Neodiprion lecontei: one gene and its partners. The protein of the gene in region 1 interacts with the protein of each later gene in a pairwise test. Links are inferred from orthologs where the notes say so. Each region holds a gene or a part of one and is shown in the gene's direction. Other genes may lie near its edges.

Region 1 (4,945 bases):
GTAAATAAAGAATGAGAAAATATCAATCGAGTTGGCCACATACGAAGTTGAAACTGACAGTCAAATTTGGCAGGCAATCGAACCAAAACTTTTCTTATATAGAGGAAAGCAGTACACTTTTGTGTTTATAAATTTATTTAAATGTTGGCATTCCATGAGCTTTGACAAGATTTCGGCAACGAACTTCACCCACCAGTTTCAAAAGTGCAAAGCTGAGTAACTTAATGCTTACTGGAAGTTTTCAGGATAGCGTTCCTAATCATTACATAATATTTTTGATGGATATAATATTTACTCAAATTGTTATACGATAGACTTGATTTATAGTTGTTCATACCTTTATGTGGGATTTCTTGATTTCTTTCAATTGTCCTAATTTGATCTAGAGTCCTAATAGCTGGTGACAAACCACCATGAACACAGAGCACTTGTTCGTCAATTAACTAGAAGAAAAAATTTCGTTGAAATAAATTATTACGTATCTAGTATTTTCAGTTTTTACTACTTTTGTACTGAAAATCATGGTGCATTAATGTATAAATATACTCACAGCAGCTACTGTAAGAAGATCGAATACTCTGCAGCAGTACTTCCACGCATTTGCATTTCCATACTTATTGTGACACTCATCTGTGAAGGAAAGAGAATTCTGGAGTCAAATTCCAAAAAAGTTTGGGGGCAGGCAACCTGAATAACTTATAAAGCTGACATTTAACTCCCATGCTCGTCAAACTAAATTTTGCATGTAAACATTATGTGATTTCCTTCCAGTAGCGAAAGAAGCGTAAGGCTTGAAAGAAAAGCAAATCAAACAGATACTAAAACGAAAATCAACCGCATGCTCGCAGCGTGAAAACTTGCTAATTATATTTTGGGCTTCAGATCCATCCTAACGTATAGCCAAAGCTCTGAGATTACTGGATCCTACAATGGTAAATAGAAGAGCACATGGTTACCGTAAAATCCATAAACTTGTGTGATTTGGCGCGATTCATGATTTCCTCGTAATAGCGTTATCCTGTCTGACCATTTGGCCTTTAGTGTTAGCAGACGGGTAAATGTTTCTAAGCTGTAATATCCTCTATCGACAAAATCTCCCATAAATATGTAATTTGTATCAGGTACTGGGCCTCCGCTCCGAAACAACTCCTCCAGGTCGTAGAACTGACATGAAAGACGCACAAATATTATGGGATATGCATCAACAAGTACTGCCCTAAAGTTTTGAGGTTATATTGGGTCGCAGTAGCTCACCTGTCCGTGAATATCACCGCATACGGTTACTGGAGTCGATACTGGCTGGATATTGGATTCTTCGAGGAGCAAATCGCAAACCATGTCACACAATTTCTGTATAAACAGGTAAAAGTACAAGTTAAATTATTCAAAGATAATACTTCGGGAAATGTAACCTAAAATATTTTCATGAAAATTGGTATTTCGAAAGTACGGCGAGAGATTATACGAGCAGTAAATATTTATTTATCGTCAATGAAATGCGCTCATTACCTTGAGGTCATTTTCTGGTAGGTATTTGCACTCTTTTGCAATATCAATCCATTTATCGATGTCTGACATTTTGGATTCGTAATGTCGCGGAAATAGCGGGTCTGCCCTGTCACCTATCTGTGGAACAGGGTACTTGTGACTGGCTTATCGCTATATATTCCGGAAGAAAGAGCGCGCTGCTTAAAAAATATCATATTTATTAATTAAAAATTTCACCGACTCCGGGTAATTTTGTGGATAACTGTTTGATTGAAAAACTGTATAAAACGTGTCTTTTAACGCTGGTAAATACCCCTGTCAACGAAACGCTATTCACTACGTCGTTATCTGTATAGATTTTCTTTCCGTTTCTAAAACTGGGTCAGAAACTCGGCGGCACTGCGCAAGCTTCGATTATCGATTATAACGTTAACGTCCAGAATCTTGATGCTGGATCTCATTTGCGTGATCGCGGCGTAGGGCACTCGCAGTGTTGCTGTTCTGTCCGTTTTCTTACGGAACTTTGCTGAAACGCGCGTTTCTCGCTCGCAGAATCGGGCTCCGGGTATTAAAAATGCGGTGAAAACACTCGGGTTCGGAGTTCGAATCGGCTCAAGGAATATCGTGGGCCCAGCCATTTTGCTCTATCGAGAGAGAGACGAGCAGTGTGAGAGACAGTTCTGACCGCTCTACTGCTACCCTGTCGGACGGAGGTGGTGGTCGCGGCTCCGTGCTGATACGCTTTTATTCTGTTTTCCAGTGTCGTTGAATAGCTCTTGTTGCTCGAGGAAGTGCCGACGATAACTTAAAATTAACCAAAATGTCAGGCAATACGGGAATGGAACAGTTGATACCAATTGTAAATAAGCTTCAAGATGCGTTCACTCAGCTCGGAGTGCACATGCAACTCGACCTGCCACAGATCGCTGTTGTGGGCGGACAAAGTGCTGGCAAGAGTTCCGTTCTGGAAAATTTTGTCGGCAGGTAAGTTCGATCCTTCCATCCATCAACGCCCCGAAATTATCGACGAATCCATGCTAATTTTTTTTATCGTTATTCTTAACCTATTTGCTCCGATACAACGCAAGGCGTGGCAAATTACCAAGCCGACCTTAAACGTCCCGTCAATATAATAATACCGTCGATGCTGGGAATTAACGATACGTCAACGCGTTTGACAGTTGGGAAATTTCAAACGTACGGGTCGCCAGGGTCAATAACGAAATTCCCCGGTCGCCCACTCGCCTCGAGTGACACCCTGTATCAAGTTCCTTCGCGAATATTTAGTCCAGACTCTAATTCTCTATTCTAAAGTCTCAATCGTCCCGATGATCTAACAATTGATAATATGAGTCAGCCTGTTTTCACGCTATCTTTCACCCGTTATTCCAAATGAAAGTTGGCTTGAGAAACACGCGACTTTTGTACGGTAACAAAAGAAAAAGAGCTAGATGTAAAAATGGCAAACAATTGAACAAATAAACGACATGCGACACCGATGAAGAAAGATCCAACCTCAAGACCACTTTCAAATTGTATATTGATTGGAAAAAAATTAGACTCAACAGTGCTGACATGTGCAGAAAAATAAATCTACAAAAAGAAAAAAATTTTCTTGGGTCTCTTTTCCGAATTTTATCTCAGTGCCCAAATTTGGTTACAATTTTTACGATTTTCCACGATATATTATCCATGCCATAAGATTTCTTGAAATTTTTTGCTAGTCAATTGTCTTTCTGATTAAAGATTTGTCGATGTAGCATAAATTCAATAAAAATTGGATCATTCTCAAACAAAGGTGTCTTCGTAAGTGGAGTCATGAATCAATGATAACTTCAAATTAGTTTCTACTTTGCTTGATTGTGTATTTCAAACTATACAGTTGTTTTTTGTAATGTAGAATTACTTTATTGAATATCGATTTTCTAATCAGTCTTTCGTTAACGATTCATACATAAACGCTTATTGAAAGAAATTGTGCTTTGTGAAGAATAATTATTTCCACAGTAAATAAATAAGACTGATACGAGCCCAGATAAAGAATCACCCTATATTGGCATTTGCAATTTTCCTAACAGATCAATACAGCGTCATATTTCAATATTTTCCAAAATTTAAGATTGCCAAATGCTTCTTTCACCCAAATTTTTGTAGAAATTTTGTTATTGGTGAAGAATTATCACTCTACTTTAGAGTAATTGTATAAAGAAGCTGTAACACAAGTATTTCCCGTTACGAAGTGCTTTTTGAAAATATTCGAGCCTCGTGTTATTGTTCATCTCTGCATACGAAATTAAAACACAATTGCAGCTACCGTGAACTTTGCTAAATGCAATTTTCATTCATTTAGCAAAGAATGTCACAGCAGTTAGCCCAATGATTCATACTGCGTGAGTAAAAAAGAGGATTCACTTGTCTCTTCTAAGCACACGCACATGTTACAGTCAACTCGAATTGTTTTTGCCACCACAAAGAATCTTTTGTCAAGATATAATTCATCAAACCAGAACTCTGAACTAAGTTTTAATCTAACCATAAAAAAAGAATTTTATTTTACCTAAAGACCTGGGGGCTTATTCTCCAACCTTGCAGCTACGTAATCGCAGAATTCATCCCGACAAAATAATTGCAGCTAAAATAACTAAAAAAATAGGGAATCGTGCCTATCTGTTACCTGTGTGTTCAAATCTGTCATGACAATAGATAAACAACGTCGAAATTTCAAAATACGAATAACGTTATTGTAGAATCAAACTACCCATTAGCTCTTTCCGATAGAACCGCAAATATTTCTGTGGGTATGCGTTACTTCAAAGATAGAGAATAAGCCTGCGGAGCGTTTTTTAAGAATAAAATTCTGCAATAAAATTACCTTTAATGTATTGATCTTAGCAATCATATGTTAACGTATATGTTTTTTTCACAGAGATTTCTTGCCAAGAGGATCAGGCATTGTAACAAGAAGACCACTTATTCTCCAGCTGATCAATAGCTCTACTGGTAAGTTCAATTTTTTACTCAACATCTGGTTATAAATCATCAACATTTGTTGGTTCATTATCTCGTTTTCTTCCAAAAACCGAATACTATTCATACTAGGAAACTTGTAAATGCAGAACGATGCATTGTATTTTGATTCGATTGTTCTACTTTTTTTTCATGTAATTACGAATAGTTCACATTTTTGAGAAATATTGTTCTTTTCATCAAGGATCCATGAGCAATTCTTGCTGCAGTATTCTTGTCTTGATTGTAGAGAAAAAAAATTGTTACCAAAAAGTGATGAGCATAGCTACATGAGGGAAGTGTAGGCCCAGTATTGATTCTCATCCCCTTTCCTCCCACTCTCCTCTTTTACTCAGCTCCGGCTGATATGCATGGCCAAACCAACAGCTAGTCATTAGAATATAGTATCAGTTTGAACTTTGATTTAATAAATGATAGCTTTCGAGTCATC
Region 2 (7,866 bases), on another chromosome or scaffold:
ACTTCCACGGGGTCAGCTAACGTTTCCATGGACAATCTGGCGATGGGTGAGTCTCGCATGTGATTCTTTTAATCTTATTGCTAATATCCTAAAGCCTCCCGTCTATAATATATTAAATCACCCGTCTCATATTTTACACTTTTGAGCGACCGAAATTTGGAATTTATATATCTTCTCTTAGTAATCGTGCTCTATGCGGGTTGATTTTATGGATAGTATAAAACTGTAACTGGCAGCCATTATCAGCCGAATGTTGCTTGACTAGTTCAGTAAAACAAAAGAGTGAAACCTGACGGTTGAAATTTTATCATGTTGAAGTTAGTAACGTTACTGCAACGATTCATGTTGAGGAAAAACCGTTATTTCGTAATTTTCGAACTGTTCAAAATTCAGCAAACCGTAATAAAACGAAATATTCTCATATTTTTTAATCCTAGTTCCCTCAAAATCACTAAAAATGAGAAAATAGTCATTTTTTCTCAACGTTTCGTTACCATAACGATACTACCTTCAACCTCGTGAAATTTTAACGAATTTCATAGAATGTTAATACGATCATACTGTGAGGATATCTTGAAAGTTAACACTCGGTCACCGCCGACTCGGCACCACTCACGTTCTTCGTCTGTTTTTTTGCAGGCTGGCCATCCCATATTCAATTTTAAACTGCGAAAGGCCGAAAATCGAAAAAATTCCTTAAACCTCATCACATTAGGTGTGATCACCCATAAAAATTTCCATGGAATCAAAAACTCAAATTCATGGACGATTTGACAGGAAATGCCCCATACATAAAACGAAAACATAATCGTCGTCGTCGTCGATGCAATTATTTTTTGGTCTTTCGCAGTTTAAAATTGAATATGGGATGGCCAGCCTGCGAAAAACAGATGATGAACGTGAGTGGTGCCGAGTCGGCGTTGACCGAGTGTTAACTTCCAAGATATTCTCTTAGTATATTGAATAATAGGCCTAAAATTGTGTAATAACACTATTAAAAAAAAGTTGAGTAAGTTTGATTGCTTATTCACGATGCTATCTCCTTCTTTTCACCGATACTGTTATCAAAAGTACAGGGGCCGGAAATTGCATTAACAACACGATTCCCGCATTTGTCCGCAATTGTTCAAACTACAAAACAATTACTTGTAAAGTTTCATAACGCCTTATGCGCGTGGACTTGGGCCGTGTTTGTAAATTGACTGCCAGTACTGAAAATTCCCTAGGACAGAAACAGAGCTTTCCATGAACTCGGCAGCGCAAAAGAGATGAAAGATTGCTGACAGTACTGTCAGTCAATTTTCGAATACGGCCTTAATATAGCTTCGTTCCGAGACTACCTGGAATTTTGGGCATCCCCGCGATGAGCCCGTTCTTGAATGCTTCTATAATTCGTGGTTGAAGAAAAGTTTATTTAGTTCATGGTTGGGCAAAAGCTCACATGCCTGAAATACTCGCGTGATTAGTCCTCGTTAGGAAAAGATTTTAGTATTACGTGTGAGAGTGAAATTGCCAATGCAAGTGATTGAATAATTTGAATTAAGACTAAGACGAAATAATATTTTTCCAAATATATTTTCACAATTTGAGAAATCGACCGCCGGCACATCAGCGCCACTCAGCGGAGGGTGTTATTGTCACGTCTTGATGTGTTTATATAGTTTCGGGTAGGCAAGCATGCGTAATAATACACGTATCACATTGCATATACGTATGTGTGTATGTACTTATACATATAGTTGAGTGGGAGCAGTTATAGGTAAGTATACATACCATCTCCGTAAAACAAGTTGATTACAAGTGAACCGTGAGCCAACCAACGTCGCGACACGTTACGATGATCGAATTGTCATTAGATTAGATAGTCATGTTGGCAAAGTGCGACTGATATAATCGGTCTGGCGAATAAAAAACGCCGCGAAAACATTTTATCAACTCGTTTCAACTGACGTTTAAGAGGTTCTGGTGACACTAGCAACATGGAGGGTCATCAGGTGAGTATTTGGATTAAGAAAAAAAAGACTAAGGAAGCAGAGAAAGTGAAATGCACACACATGCAACATACTGCACTCTGTTCGTACTATGAATAACCGGATTAATCCTTGCCTCTATGACTCATTGTGCTCATCTGTTCGTTTTTGTTTCACAAAGATTACAAAAAGGATATTTTGTTCTAGATTTTTCTCTCTTTCTTTCTAACACATTGTTAATCTCGATAATTGTGGTTTGAACAACATTCAAAAGAAAGCAATGCAGTAAATTTTCTACTCTTTGTCATTCACTAATCCACTTGTTTCGATTGTTCTTTTTACATCTATCGCTTCCATTGTCGTTTCGATTCATATTTTCCTAGCATTGTAAAAACACAATTATTCAAATGCTGCTTTTCTTTATTTGTGCAATTATCCCGCGTAGGTACAAGCCCTGTATGACTTTACTGGAGAGCCAGGGACTGCCGAGCTCTCCATCAATGCTGGCCAAATTTTAACCGTCATCAGAGCTAACGTTGGAGATGGATGGTGCGAGGGCGTTAATCAGAGTGGAAAGTCTGGACTCTTTCCGGCTGCTTATGTACAGCCTGTTGATCCCAATGCTTCCGCGCCTCCTATGACAGGTACAAAACATGTACTCTACTCGCAACAAATTGACTTGAATCGATTTAGAACAGTTGAAATGTGTAAAAGTTGAGGCAATGTTATCAAAAGTTTGACTGGATTGCGATCAACTGTTGCAAATTACTAAAGTTGAACATAAACCATGATTTAAAATGTTGGTGGGATGTACAATTCAAAGCATTGTGAACGAAGAAACTGATGAATCATTCTTTGGTCATACAGTATTAATTCGTTTGAAATACTTATTCATGGTGGCCACGGTCAGGGAAAACCGGGAAATGTCAGGGGAAAAAAGTTGGTCTGGGAATCATGGAAATGACGGGGAATTTCAAATTTGTTCAGTGGTCAAAAAAAGATGACCAAACATCTAATAAATGGCACGAAAGGAAATTAAAAAATTCTTAATTTCGTTCATTATTTCAAAACATGTATGGCAATCACACATGACAGAAGTGAAACTTTTCAGAGTTATAAACAGAACCGCACAGCATGTATGATACATATATGTATGATATATATATTTCGATGTGTTTTCATGTGATTTTTCTTGACGTTGTTGAATTTCCTGATGAATTTATATTGAACTGAAACGAAGAATTGGGGATTCGTAGAACTATCGAAGACAATAAGAACTTGAGTCAGGGAAAATTGAACAACTGTTCAAGGAAGGTCAGGGAATTTATTTCCGAGAACAAATTCCACCATGTTATTCATTTAGTTTCTGAGTAAATTGTATTCTAAATAGTTGTTTCACATTCCGCATGTCGGTGTTGATTGAAAGTTTAAATTGGATTATCTGATAAAATGCCTTTAGTAATGCTTCTGTCGATTGAAATATTTTTCTGATAAATTCTCGGCAGCTGTGTCATTGTGGCTTGTAATTCCATACCAGTCGTTATCACGAAAGTATCACGCGAAGCAGTCGAGTTGGTTATTCTCTCTTTGTCTGAAATAACCGCACTGAGAACTTGATTTAAATAACTATGACATTCGCATTAACTGAGCGTCGTTTATGGGGATGAAATATAGAGTACGTGAATTCAAAAGGAAAATGTAGCGTATGAAGATTTGGTACAAATTATTTCAGGCAGTACAACGTCGTCGCAACAGGGTACGGGGGATTATTGGGATGACGATTGGGACGATGACTCGGAAGCTGGTCACGATACGCCAGCTCCTGTCAATCAACAACAGCATCATCTACAACAGGCTGTACAACCGTCGTCGCAACCGGTATATCCGGATTACGCGGATTCAATTTCAACGCATACGGTTCACTCAGTCATATCGGAAAGACCGATATCTAACGTCCCTAAAAAGAATACAAAATTTTCAACCCTCATCAAGTCGGGGGAAGACAGTTTTTTAATGGGAACAAAAATAGTCGTTGTACCTGATAACGAGAGAGTGTTTATAGAGGAAAATGAAGAGAGACGATGTGTGTGGGTGCCGGCTATAGATACGTACAATTGCGTCGTTACTTCACCTAAGAAAGAGTCTAAGCTCAAGGGACTCAAAAGCTTCATTGTTTACCAGTTGACACCGACGGTACGAAAGCTAATTTGTTCGATATGAATGTATGGTCAAATTTTTTGTCTCCAATATTATGGATCACTTTCGTTTGGTTACAGAAAAAATTTCAGTATTGGTAGCAAGTTGGACTTTGCGTAATTTATTTATGTATTTATTTATTTATTTATTTATTTATTTATTTATTTTACTACAACAACACTTGGGGCATTTTATTATTTTTCTCGAAATTTTGTGGTGCTAAAAAAGCTCAATTCAAGTTACATTCATTGGGATAACAGTGGAAAAAAAAAAAAAAAAAAATTGACAAACCTGAAGGGAAAATAAACTTTCGTTTCAATTGCAGTTTAACAATATACAAGTGTCGAGGAGATACAAGCACTTCGATTGGTTACACGAAAGACTGGAAGAAAAATACTGCTTTATTCCAATACCGCCATTGCCGGATAAACAAATATCCGGTCGTTACGAGGAACAGTTTATAGAGCATCGTAGAACTCAGCTTCAAGAATTTGTCGATTACGTTTGTAGACATCCGGTTTTATGTCGCAGTCGAGTATGGGAACATTTTATGACTTGCACAGACGAGAAACGATGGAAGGCTGGAAAACGGCAGGCGGAAAAAGACGAACTGTTGGGAGTGAATTACTTCAACGTACTTCAGTGTCCGGACACACCTTTGGATCCGGTTAAAGTCGACATAGAGAATGACGCTTTTGCCAAATTTATCAACGGACTTGATCCGGTCGTTAAAAACTTTATGGCAATGGCTGTTGACCAGTCAAAGAAACACCAGGTTTTGTACAAGAGAGAATTTCAGAAAATTGCCCAGTCTTTTACATCCTTAGGTTTTGCTCTTGACGCCGACGATAATAGTAGAGGTATACTGAATTCCGCTTTAAAAGTAACGGGAGATGCTTACAACGAAATTGGAAAATTGTACGAGGAACAACCGAAATTTGACTGGGAACCGCTTGGCGATAAATTTCATATTTATAGAGGAATAATTAGCAGTTTCCCCGACGTTATTAGCATACACAAGGTGAGTTAGGAGTCAAGTTTTTCCTCTTTTTCTTCCTTTTGTTACTCGAATTTTGGTAATTCTTGATAACGTCATCACACAGAGCGCCGTACAGAAGCGAAAGGATTCGGAGAGGCTAGTCAGCGAGCATAAAATGGAGCCGCAACAATTACGAGAACTTTCGCATCGAACCGACGTAATAGCCAGAGCTCTGATGGCAGAGGAAACACATTTTCAAATGGAACGCGAGGTCCACATCAAACAAGCTATGAAAAATCATCTAACCGAGCAGATCGCTTTTTATAAAAAAATTGTCAACAAATTGCAGGAAGCGTTGAATGCTTACGACGGTTGAAAATTAAATTGAACAGCAAGAGGTACTAACGCTCATAATCTCTGTACGCATAAGCAATAACACGATTCATTTCTCTCGTACTAGTTGAACTTTTGTTCATTCGCTTTTTGTCGGACTCGTCAAAATGGGGAAAAATTTAATTTCGTCATGTCCGTACTAATAAATTTATACAAATTCTAATAACGATTTCGAAACTTTTTCCATCGTTACATTTAACGTTCGGTGAGTTACGCGTCTGGAAAGCATGTGAGAGAGTAAAAAGTATCTAAAAAATAAAATGCTTACCTTGTTATTATAGATTCCTATACGTCACTTGCCGTTACATGCGTTATGAATGATTGTTGACCTGTAAATAATTAGCTAAATCTATCCGACTGTAATCGTACGTTGCTAACATCGGTACTTGTATAGTTTAGTATATTCACCTTTTTTTTTTTTTTACCCCGATTCGTCCAATTGCTACAGGGGCCAAAACTTCGTAAAACAACATAACGTGTTGTATATATGTACAACTTTTCGATGTTGAATATTTTGATATGATAAATTGAATGCATTTACGTCAAATAGCATTTATATAGAACTTACGCTTATGGGTGATTTTTTTTTTTTCCTTGATCCTTCAATTGCATTCTTGTTTACCTTTCGTTAAATCAATATTTCGGATATAATTATTGATTATATTCGAAAGGTGCTCCAACTTTGACGTTCAAAGTTAATGAATCATTTAATCTATGGCATCTTTTGTGTGTGTGTGTGTGTGTGTGTGTGGCTAGGGTGGTCATTAAAAAAAATTATTTTTGAACTGCGACGGTCTCACCTCCTAAATTGGCTCCAAATAATTCACCAACGATTCTCTAATTGTTTCAGAGTTTTATCTCAACTTTAACCTGCGCCGCCAGAGAGTCGATTTTCCCATTTAACCCTTTTCAAGGGAACAGTAAAACTGCCAAACAGATTTTGATGAAATTTGATGGAGGAGGGTTTCTTGGATCGCTGATTACGTATGATGACTCGAAATTTAAAGATTTCAAAATCTGAAAAAATTTGGGAATTATTTTTGAATCCTTTGGAGCCGATTCGGTGGTTGAGACATTCGAAATTCATAAATTAGTTTTTCAAGAACCATTCTAGTGTGTATGTTATGTATCATCGTATTAGTGCGCCCGTGTGTCCGCGTATATACATATACAAATACCTTTTACAATTGAAATTTTGACAATTTACAACACGAGGTCGGTATGATATTTATTTCAGTATCGCACGAGTAACGATTATCAATGTTATTAATATTATTATTATTATTATTATTATTCTTATTGTATAATTTTCTCTTCAAAAACCAAATTCTAACTGGAAAATCGTAATCCGTATAAATAGGTATACTTATCCGTATATTATATTTATATATTTATATTCGTAGGTACGAATATTTCATCTGGAATATACATTACCTTGTGCATATTACTAGTATTTATTATTATTATTATTATTATTTTTTTATTTTTTTTTTATTTTTTTTTTATTTTACGATTTTGGGAGATCCAAAATTAACAATTTTTCTATCGGAGGGAATAACCGATTCTTGAAAATTGATTTATACGACGCGTAACAAATATTCCAAGTTTTAGTGAAAAAATTATTTTCCGCATTATTCACACAGTCAATGAATTGAGAAGGTCTGAAATAAAATATTAATATAATGAAAGATAGAAACTGTGATATGCGGTAATCGGAGTGGTTCAAAATCACATTATTAGTTGAAAATATAGTAACCAAGATTCGATTTCGATTTCACAAAAGTTCATCGTAACATCAAAATTGACCAAATAATTTGATGCGAAAAATTTATTGTGTAAAATTCCATGTTCGTGGCGATAATAATTAGATGGACTGTAAAATTATGTCAATACGAATTTATCTTCTCGCACATATATGTGTAAATTATGTATCGAAACAGTGAAGCATTTTGTATATGTATATAATATTTATAAACATCTGTAAACTCAAAAACACTATACACAATTAATTTTATAAATTGTATGTCATATGTCATTTGGATGAAGATTGTTCCATGTTGTTATGCGAACGAATCGATCTTTAATAAACTTGTATTATATTACAATTTCTATATTCGTTTAAACTTTTACCTACTCGAGGACGATTTTTGCCGTCATTTTTATTATGCCCTGCGGGTTTTATTTTTCTCTCGCATAAAATTTGCTCTGACTGTTTTCGCGAAAATAGTGATACTAGTGAAAATAGTGAAAATAGTGAACAATAGTTAGTAATCGATCGATTGAAAAATTTGGTGAGAAACATAATGCACTGCGACTCCTGGCGATCAA
Region 3 (7,901 bases), on another chromosome or scaffold:
CCTACGAGGTGTAATCCAACCCTCATCGTTGTCATCTTCACTTTCACTCTCTTCAATTTCTTGGTCCTCATCAGTAAACTCTTCACAATTTTCAGCTGGAAGAATATCGTCAACGTCTTTGCCATTATCCAATTCCAAATCTTCTGGATTGCATTTCAAAGCAGAAAATTTATCAGGTAAACTATCTTTCTCTATGTTTTCTAAGTCGGAGGTTGCTGTCTCATAATCAGAAATTGATGAGTATTCTGACAAATCGTCCGATTCAGAGGTAGAATCTGCGCTTCCATTTTTCAGCAAGATTACCGTGTTCAAATTATTATGCAAATCTAGTTCTTTTGTGTCTTCGTTTTGGTTAAAAGTGCAGTGTTCCACAGTTTCTTTTTCAGTACCTTGTTTCTAAATGAGATAAAAAAGCATTGGTACAACATGAAACCAAAAGTTTCGCCAATTGAAAGTGCTTGTTGTAAGTTAATTTTATTTATTCCCTGTATTGCTTACATCATTGTCAGGTAAAAAAAATCCAGCCACATTATGCGAGTAATTATCTGGGAGATTGATGCTGATATCGGGCTTTACAGGTGTTATAGGTACATCCTTCAAGTGTTGAGTTCCAACTTTTTCTTTCTCAAGCTGATAAGTTAAGGCAATCACCTTAATATCAGTTGCCGAAAGACTGCGGTAGTCTCCAGTCTTTTTAGAAAATTCGGTAACTATGGGACATACGTACGAATAATAGTGATATGACTGACAAAGCCACAACTGAATGATGTAAATAATGCCAAGTGTAAACAAGAAGGCCATATCTATTTGCACACTATTGTATTTTTTGCAAAATAACAGGTATTGGCACGATTGTTTCTACATACATACATCATATGTGTATTGTAGTTGCAGATAGTAGTGAAATATGATGATTCATATAGGACTTGATTACAAAATGCTCTAGCCATATCATTTGGCATGTTTGGAGTATCGCATATAGACATGGAAAGAGCTATAGATAGAGACATGGAAAGACACGGAGGCGTGAAAAAAGCCACGTGAAGAAATAATGAATACAAGTAGGCTGATTGTTTATTTCTCTCACCAAAATGAATGTTCTCTGGAAAGACATCTTTAATAATCAAGTCGTAAGGTAAAACAACGAGTCTTCTGAGCTGCCGCTTGTTGGTTATTTCATTAACAACATCTTGAGGAGTTATAACGTTGGCAGCGATATCCTGTTACGAAAAATTGGGAGATGAGTTTTTATCATGATATGAGAATTTTGAGCTGAAAAGTGATACGATATCAAGTAATCATAATCTTATCGGTTTAAGTTATGATAAAAAAAGAAGAGTACGAGAAAACGCATTACTAATTAGGTAACGAAGATGGCATAACCTAATTCGAGCTAGTGCAATGTAATTGAGTGTACGCAGGTGAGTGGACAACTGTACTTTATTTATTATTTATCATACCTGTATAGCTGCGTTTCTAATAAATGCACTAGTATCGACAATCAGATACTCCACTTTTGCGTCAGCCTTCATTTTTCCCAGTTTCCAATGGGAGCTTTACATGTGGCCACGCTACACGGAAAATATCACACTTCCATTAGGATATTGGGTCTTTAAATGCTTAAAACGTCTGAAACCACGGAGTGGGAACTACGCAGCTCATGTGAGTTGCTTATGTTTTACAATTACGCTAAAAAACGAGGAAATTCTAGACCCCTGTTCCTTTTGAATACACTCTGTAATAATGAAAAAAAATAAACCGCACAAATCATGACGTTACCAAATTTACGTATCCGTATAAAAATTATTAATCCATTCCCGATTTGTTAAACAATTTATTTATCTCAATTTCGTACTACTCACTTTTAGATCTGACGGACAGCAAGATGGCTGACGTCAGATAGTGAAATATCATGATAACGAATCCTCCGAGTGTTTTTCAACTCAGTTTTTGTGTCTTATAATCGACGATACCGAGCGAGCGATGTTTCAAGACTGCACGCGCCTCAGAAATTTGTTCAATACTATATAGGTTTGTATCCTTATAGTTGAAACGTCAAAACCTATCTGCAATGTATGATGAATCAACCATTCGCGAAACGTCAAGATTAATGTCCCGTATATTACTCATAATTTTCGTTTCATTTTTCTGTACCTCATTTCCTAGTCTAATGTAATACTCCCATTGTTACCAAATAGTCAGTTTACATTTCTTAATTTGTTGCTTGTAAAATAGTATTCCATTTACAGTTCGTTATATTGATTCCTCAACAATTCACACCTTTGTTTTTTATGAATTTTATTTTTGTTAATTATCTTCTCACATGATCAATCAATTGATAGCGACAACATTTACAAATTTTGCTGATCTGTTACGTACTTCATTCTTTCCTCTACGCAACTTAATTTCTATCTGCACCTAATTTATTAAATGAATTGTAATCGTCTTTGTTTTTTTGTTCTATAGTCTTACTGCGCAAACCTCAATCTGTATTCTATTGGCTACAAATATTTAAAGTTCTCTCACTTTGCCAACTAACAAACGATCTAAGCAATTTTTGACCAATTTTTTAGTCAGCAAATAATAAGACAGGAAAAGAAAGTATTCTTCTAACATATAGTTTAGTCAGTTTTGCTGAGTAACAGCTGGATCCGTGATAAGCTGAATTATAAGCTTTCTGAATCACGAAAATAGAAATATTTACAGATTGATCATTTATATTTACCTTACACCAGAGAATCTGATTCACAGAAAATATTCCTAGATCCCTTGAACCTATTGTTTTCAATGATTTTAAGTAAATTCTACACATTATACTAAATGTTCTTTTTTATTTTTCAGTTATACAATACTCTGAAAGCTGAGTTTTAATATGAATGGTATTTCAAGATTATTTTGGTGAATCACATCTAAAGGCAAACCATGTCACAGTGCGAAGTGGAAGCTGCAACTCCAGGGTTTCATCAGCTTAGCATCACTAGTAAATGATAATAGTTTTTTAAATTTTGCATCCACTATGATCAAGTTCTACCTCATCTACTTATCTTAAAAACATGTTGATTTCCAAGATATATTAATTTTCATTTCAGTTGAAGCAGCCGTATTGCGCAATTCGTCATTTCTGAAACCTAATCCTTACGTTGAACTCTCAGTTGATGACAAGAGTCCTCGCAAAACTGAGATTGCAAAATCCACATATCAGCCAAAATGGGTGGAAAAGTTTACCATTCTTGTAACACCTTACTCCCAGCTGCATTTTAGACTCTTGGATCACAGCACCTTTCGTAGGGATGCATTGATTGGTGAAAAGAGAATTAATTTGTTTCAAGTTTTGTCCTACTACAATGGAAAATTGGATAATGTTGAATTAACTTTGGATTTAATGAGCGAAAATAAACACGATGCTTATGGTCCACTATCAAAGGTTGGAGAGTTGGTAACATTATTTGACGGACTAAAAATTGATATGAACGAAGTCATACCCTCTAATTCCTGCGAACAAGTTCGCCACAATCAAGTTACAAGCGGTGCCCTGACGCCACTTGGTAAGGCCTTAAATCTCAGAGATATTTTTTCGCATTAGCTGAAATGTTGATCGAACATTTTTTATTTCTAGGTTCTTCAAACAGTGACTCTGGGAACAATCGAAGTATTCTAAATGGTGGTGTGAGAGCTCGCATGCGATTACACGGATCAGAGAATGCAGCACCTTCCGTCATGCAGCCAGTTATGCATCGAAGTTCAACCAACATTCTTCACAATCCTAGTCACACTGCAAGTCAACCCAGTAATAATACCAACAATGCTCAAATTGTTGGCCTTACCTCTCCTATGGCTAATGGAGTTGGTAATCATTTGGCTACTGAAAGTAGCAGTGGATCAACAGGGCCCCCACTGGGTCAACCAGCATCTGCTGGACCATCTGGAGTACCCGGGGAGACTGAAAATGGTAATCAGCCTGAAGAACCTTTGCCTGCTGGTTGGGAAATGAGATATGACGTCTATGGCAGAAGGTAAATTATGGATTGTCATTTAATTAAAAAGGTTCGTTTGTTTCTGGCGATTTTACAACCATTCTTGTACAGAATATCTGAATCATTGAGTATCTAAAGAGAAATATACTGCTATAAATTTGAAGATTGACGAACTATTTCAGTTTTTTTAGTTTTTTATCGTTCCAGGTATTATGTAGATCACAACACTCGCAGTACATCCTGGGAAAGGCCACAGCCACTCCCACCAGGCTGGGAAGTACGAAGGGATCCTCGAGGGAGAATTTATTATGTAGATCACAATACAAGAAGTACTACTTGGCAACGCCCCAACACAGAGAGGCTACAGCATTTCCAGCACTGGCAGGGAGAACGGCAACATGTTGTCCAACAAGGAAATCAAAGATTCCTCTACCCTCAGGTGATCACCAACTGAAAAAATTGGAGAAAATTTCGTCATTGAAGATGAATTTTTTTTCAGAACAACCAAAAATCTTTTTATTCTTATCTTCTGCACATTTTTTTAAAGGCTCATGGTGGACAAGCAGCAGTGGCTGGTCTTTCAACGGCAGTCGTTGAAGAAGATGATGCTCTAGGGCCCCTGCCAGCTGGTTGGGAGAGACGCAAACAGCCCGAAGGCAGAGTTTACTATGTGAATCATAAAAATCGAACAACTCAATGGGAGGATCCAAGAACGCAAGGACAAGAAACAGGAATGGACGAACCACCCTTACCTGATGGATGGGAGATTAGATTAACTGAAGATGGAGTCCGGTATTTTGTGGACCATAATTCGAGAACTACAACATTCCAAGATCCAAGACCAGGAGCGCCGAAAGGGTATGTGAAAGTTTTGAGAATTTCGGTTTAATCGTAAATTGAGTCTAAATTACTCCAAGTACCATAATACATATTTTGGTCACCTTCTTTACAGGCCGAAGGGTGTCTATGGGGTTCCAAAGGCATATGAGCGATCTTTTCGCTGGAAATTATCACAATTCAGATATTTATGCCACAGTAATGCTCTTCCTAGTCATATAAAGATCAGCGTTACCCGACAAACTTTGTTCGAAGATTCTTATCACCAAATCATGAGACTGCCGGCTTATGAGCTCAGACGACGATTGTACATTATATTCAAGGGTGAAGAGGGCTTAGACTATGGCGGAGTATCAAGGTAAAAAATTATGGTTAATCAATTTTCAACCAATTTAAATATTATTCCATGTTTAATGATTGGATCTTTTTCCTCATAACAGGGAATGGTTTTTCTTACTGAGTCATGAGGTATTGAATCCAATGTATTGTCTCTTTGAGTATGCAAACAAAAGCAACTACAGTTTACAAATAAATCCGGCATCGTACGTGAATCCAGACCACCTACAGTATTTCAAATTCATCGGCAGGTTCATTGCAATGGTATGTTAGGATTATTAATATATTTTGAATTACGAGAACAAGTAATCAAGATCTTTAATCAATTTTCCCCATTTTTTGCATTACCAGGCTCTTTACCATGGACGTTTTATCTACAGTGGATTCACAATGCCTTTTTACAAACGAATGTTGAATAAGAAATTGATCATGAAGGATATTGAGTCTATAGATCCGGAATTTTACAATTCACTTGTATGGATAAAAGATAATAACATAGATGATTGCGGTCTCGAATTGTATTACAGCGTCGATTTCGAGATTCTTGGTCAAGTCATACATCATGAACTTAAAGATGGTGGTGATAAAATTCGAGTTGTTGAAGAAAATAAGGAAGAGTATATGAGGTAAAGTTATCGCATTACACCTTTTGCTACACACATACATGTAAAGAAATAATAAAATATAAGAATAATAAATAATAATAAAAATAAAATGCTCGCATTTCCAGACTGATGACAGAATGGCGAATGACGAGAGGTATCGAGGAACAAACTAAAGCTTTCCTCGAAGGATTTAATGAGGTTGTGCCTCTAGAATGGCTAAAATATTTCGATGAGCGAGAACTCGAGCTCATGCTCTGTGGCATGCAAGAAATAGATGTCGATGACTGGCAACGCAACGCTATTTACAGGCACTACACGCGCAGCAGTAAACAAGTACTATGGTTTTGGCAGGTACTTTGAAACGATAAATTATTAAGGAAACTGAAATTACCTCAATTTTTACGATTATTGTAAATTAAATCTTTTCAGTTTGTACGGACAACTGACAGCGAAAAACGAGCTAGACTGCTACAGTTCGTCACAGGAACATGTCGTGTACCAGTTGGTGGATTTGCCGAATTGATGGGTATGTTGTGAAAAATGTTTTAATCAGCTGAATGAATGTAAAATAGCAACACTGCAGTGTTATCGAATCCTTGAAATTGATAGAGAACATTATTCATTTCAGGGAGCAATGGACCACAAAGATTTTGCATAGAAAAGGTGGGTAAAGATACTTGGTTACCGAGGTCACATACGTGTTTCAACAGGCTGGATCTTCCGCCCTATAAAAGTTATGATCAAATGGTGGAGAAGCTGAACTATGCGATCGAAGAAACAGAGGGCTTTGGTCAGGAATGACCAGTTGCAGTTGCTTTAAAACGAGAACTGGTAAATCAGTTTTTAATTTTTAATCTATCATGTTTGAAATTTCTAAGATCTTCTGAAAAATGTTCAAATAGTGAATTTATTATGTGCTAAGCGTCTTACTTTTTTTTTCATATTTTCAGAATGAAGTCAAACTGCACCAGAGTGTAATGCACTTTTAAGAACCAAACTTTAATGTTGTATAAATATTTCATCATATTAATAGTTAATTATATACATCAGAAACTCTATAGTCCTTATGCAAGGTGAGTGGAATTGAACAACTCTTCTATTTTACTGTGCCTTTGATGGTGCTGAAAGGTCTGGATAGAAATATTTTTTCTTGCACGTATAATTATCGTATTTTTTATACTAAAATACATATGCATACAAAATCATGGGATTAATTCTTACATAATAGTCCGAGGACTGTAAGAATTTCTGCATCTTTACCACATAAGATATTTTTGAAAAATTATTTCTTGTTATTTGCTCAAAATCATGTTATTTCAAATCTTTTCAACTTATACTCTTTACCTTTTACTTTTAATCTGCCCTAGATTAGAGAAACTGTGATTCTAGAGACTGGTCTAAACTTTTCTACAATCGTTGCATTTTGACTATAGATCATTTGGAAATAAAATACATAGCTGTGGTAGCCAAAATTTGGCGCGATTTGTCTCAAGTTAGAGTACTTGGGAGACATTGCCAAATGCTGAGGGATTGTGATTGGTTCATGTAGAAATTGTCAAAAATCGAGAAAAATAACAAAATTTCAAATACAATTGGTGTGATTGTTCTGATCTTCAAAAAGAAAGTAAAAAGGACCTCAAAATAAAAGTAGTATAATTTCTTCATAACCCTACTCAGAATTGCATTCCAATGAATCAGTAAGGCATAAGAATTTTCGATAAACTAAAAATTATATATCTTCGGTAATTGAAAGGTAATAAAATATGAGAACGCTAGTGAAATTCAGTATTTGACGCTTTCTATATCTCACCAATCCAAAGTATAGATTCCTCGTGATGATAATAAATATTGTACATAATTGAACTACACACAATAATTTGTGGCATATATTAAAGCCGTTGACAAGCAATGCTTTTAAAGAAATAGTTATCTACTGTATAAAAAGATTTTAATTCATATAAAAGAACCACGTTACTTTAAGAACAAAATAGCAAAAACGAACCTACAAACTATTTCAACACTGATGGCAACAAATAGTTGATGATTTGCTTGACTGTTGAGTTGCAAACAGGCAGATAGAAATTGAACATAAATTCGTCGCTTGTTCACGATAATATGGTATATATTATATATATATATAGATATATAT

The links.
Region 2: the proteins of dynamin (region 1) and sorting nexin lst-4 interact in a two-hybrid assay, tested with the Caenorhabditis elegans proteins (2 studies listed by BioGRID). The link is inferred for Neodiprion lecontei from reciprocal best matches to the Caenorhabditis elegans genes dyn-1 and lst-4.
Region 3: the proteins of dynamin (region 1) and E3 ubiquitin-protein ligase Su(dx) interact in binary tests that used the Caenorhabditis elegans proteins (3 or more experiments, as listed by UniProt). The link is inferred for Neodiprion lecontei from reciprocal best matches to the Caenorhabditis elegans genes dyn-1 and wwp-1.

The regions. Positions count from the first base shown.
Region 1 is NC_060262.1:30,901,731-30,906,675, reverse strand, and holds the start of dynamin, read left to right. Parts: upstream 1-1,918; 5' UTR 1,919-2,308; coding exon 2,309-2,472; intron 2,473-4,414; coding exon 4,415-4,488; intron 4,489-4,945. Other genes in the region: serine/threonine-protein phosphatase 6 catalytic subunit, read right to left, coding at 338-443, 551-630, 957-1,164, 1,255-1,350, 1,510-1,578.
Region 2 is NC_060264.1:30,688,144-30,696,009, forward strand, and holds sorting nexin lst-4, read left to right. Parts: upstream 1-1,857; 5' UTR 1,858-1,979; coding exon 1,980-1,994; intron 1,995-2,415; coding exon 2,416-2,614; intron 2,615-3,702; coding exon 3,703-4,163; intron 4,164-4,491; coding exon 4,492-5,187; intron 5,188-5,269; coding exon 5,270-5,521; 3' UTR 5,522-5,543; exon of another isoform or gene 5,544-6,388; 3' UTR 6,389-7,810; downstream 7,811-7,866. UniProt on the Caenorhabditis elegans protein: Involved in the signaling of vulval development by acting as a negative regulator of epidermal growth factor receptor (EGFR) signaling. Aids in phagosomal membrane tubule formation which is required for phagosomal fusion with endosomes and lysosomes.
Region 3 is NC_060261.1:34,762,927-34,770,827, forward strand, and holds the start of E3 ubiquitin-protein ligase Su(dx), read left to right. Parts: upstream 1-1,892; 5' UTR 1,893-2,031; intron 2,032-2,841; 5' UTR 2,842-2,922; coding exon 2,923-2,980; intron 2,981-3,089; coding exon 3,090-3,545; intron 3,546-3,616; coding exon 3,617-4,013; intron 4,014-4,181; coding exon 4,182-4,413; intron 4,414-4,521; coding exon 4,522-4,832; intron 4,833-4,926; coding exon 4,927-5,169; intron 5,170-5,251; coding exon 5,252-5,411; intron 5,412-5,498; coding exon 5,499-5,773; intron 5,774-5,877; coding exon 5,878-6,103; intron 6,104-6,181; coding exon 6,182-6,278; intron 6,279-6,380; coding exon 6,381-6,553; 3' UTR 6,554-6,583; intron 6,584-6,702; 3' UTR 6,703-7,901. Other genes in the region: RNA-binding protein NOB1, read right to left, coding at 6-396, 499-710, 1,088-1,220, 1,461-1,532. UniProt on the Caenorhabditis elegans protein: E3 ubiquitin-protein ligase which accepts ubiquitin from an E2 ubiquitin-conjugating enzyme in the form of a thioester and then directly transfers the ubiquitin to targeted substrates. Ubiquitinates klf-1.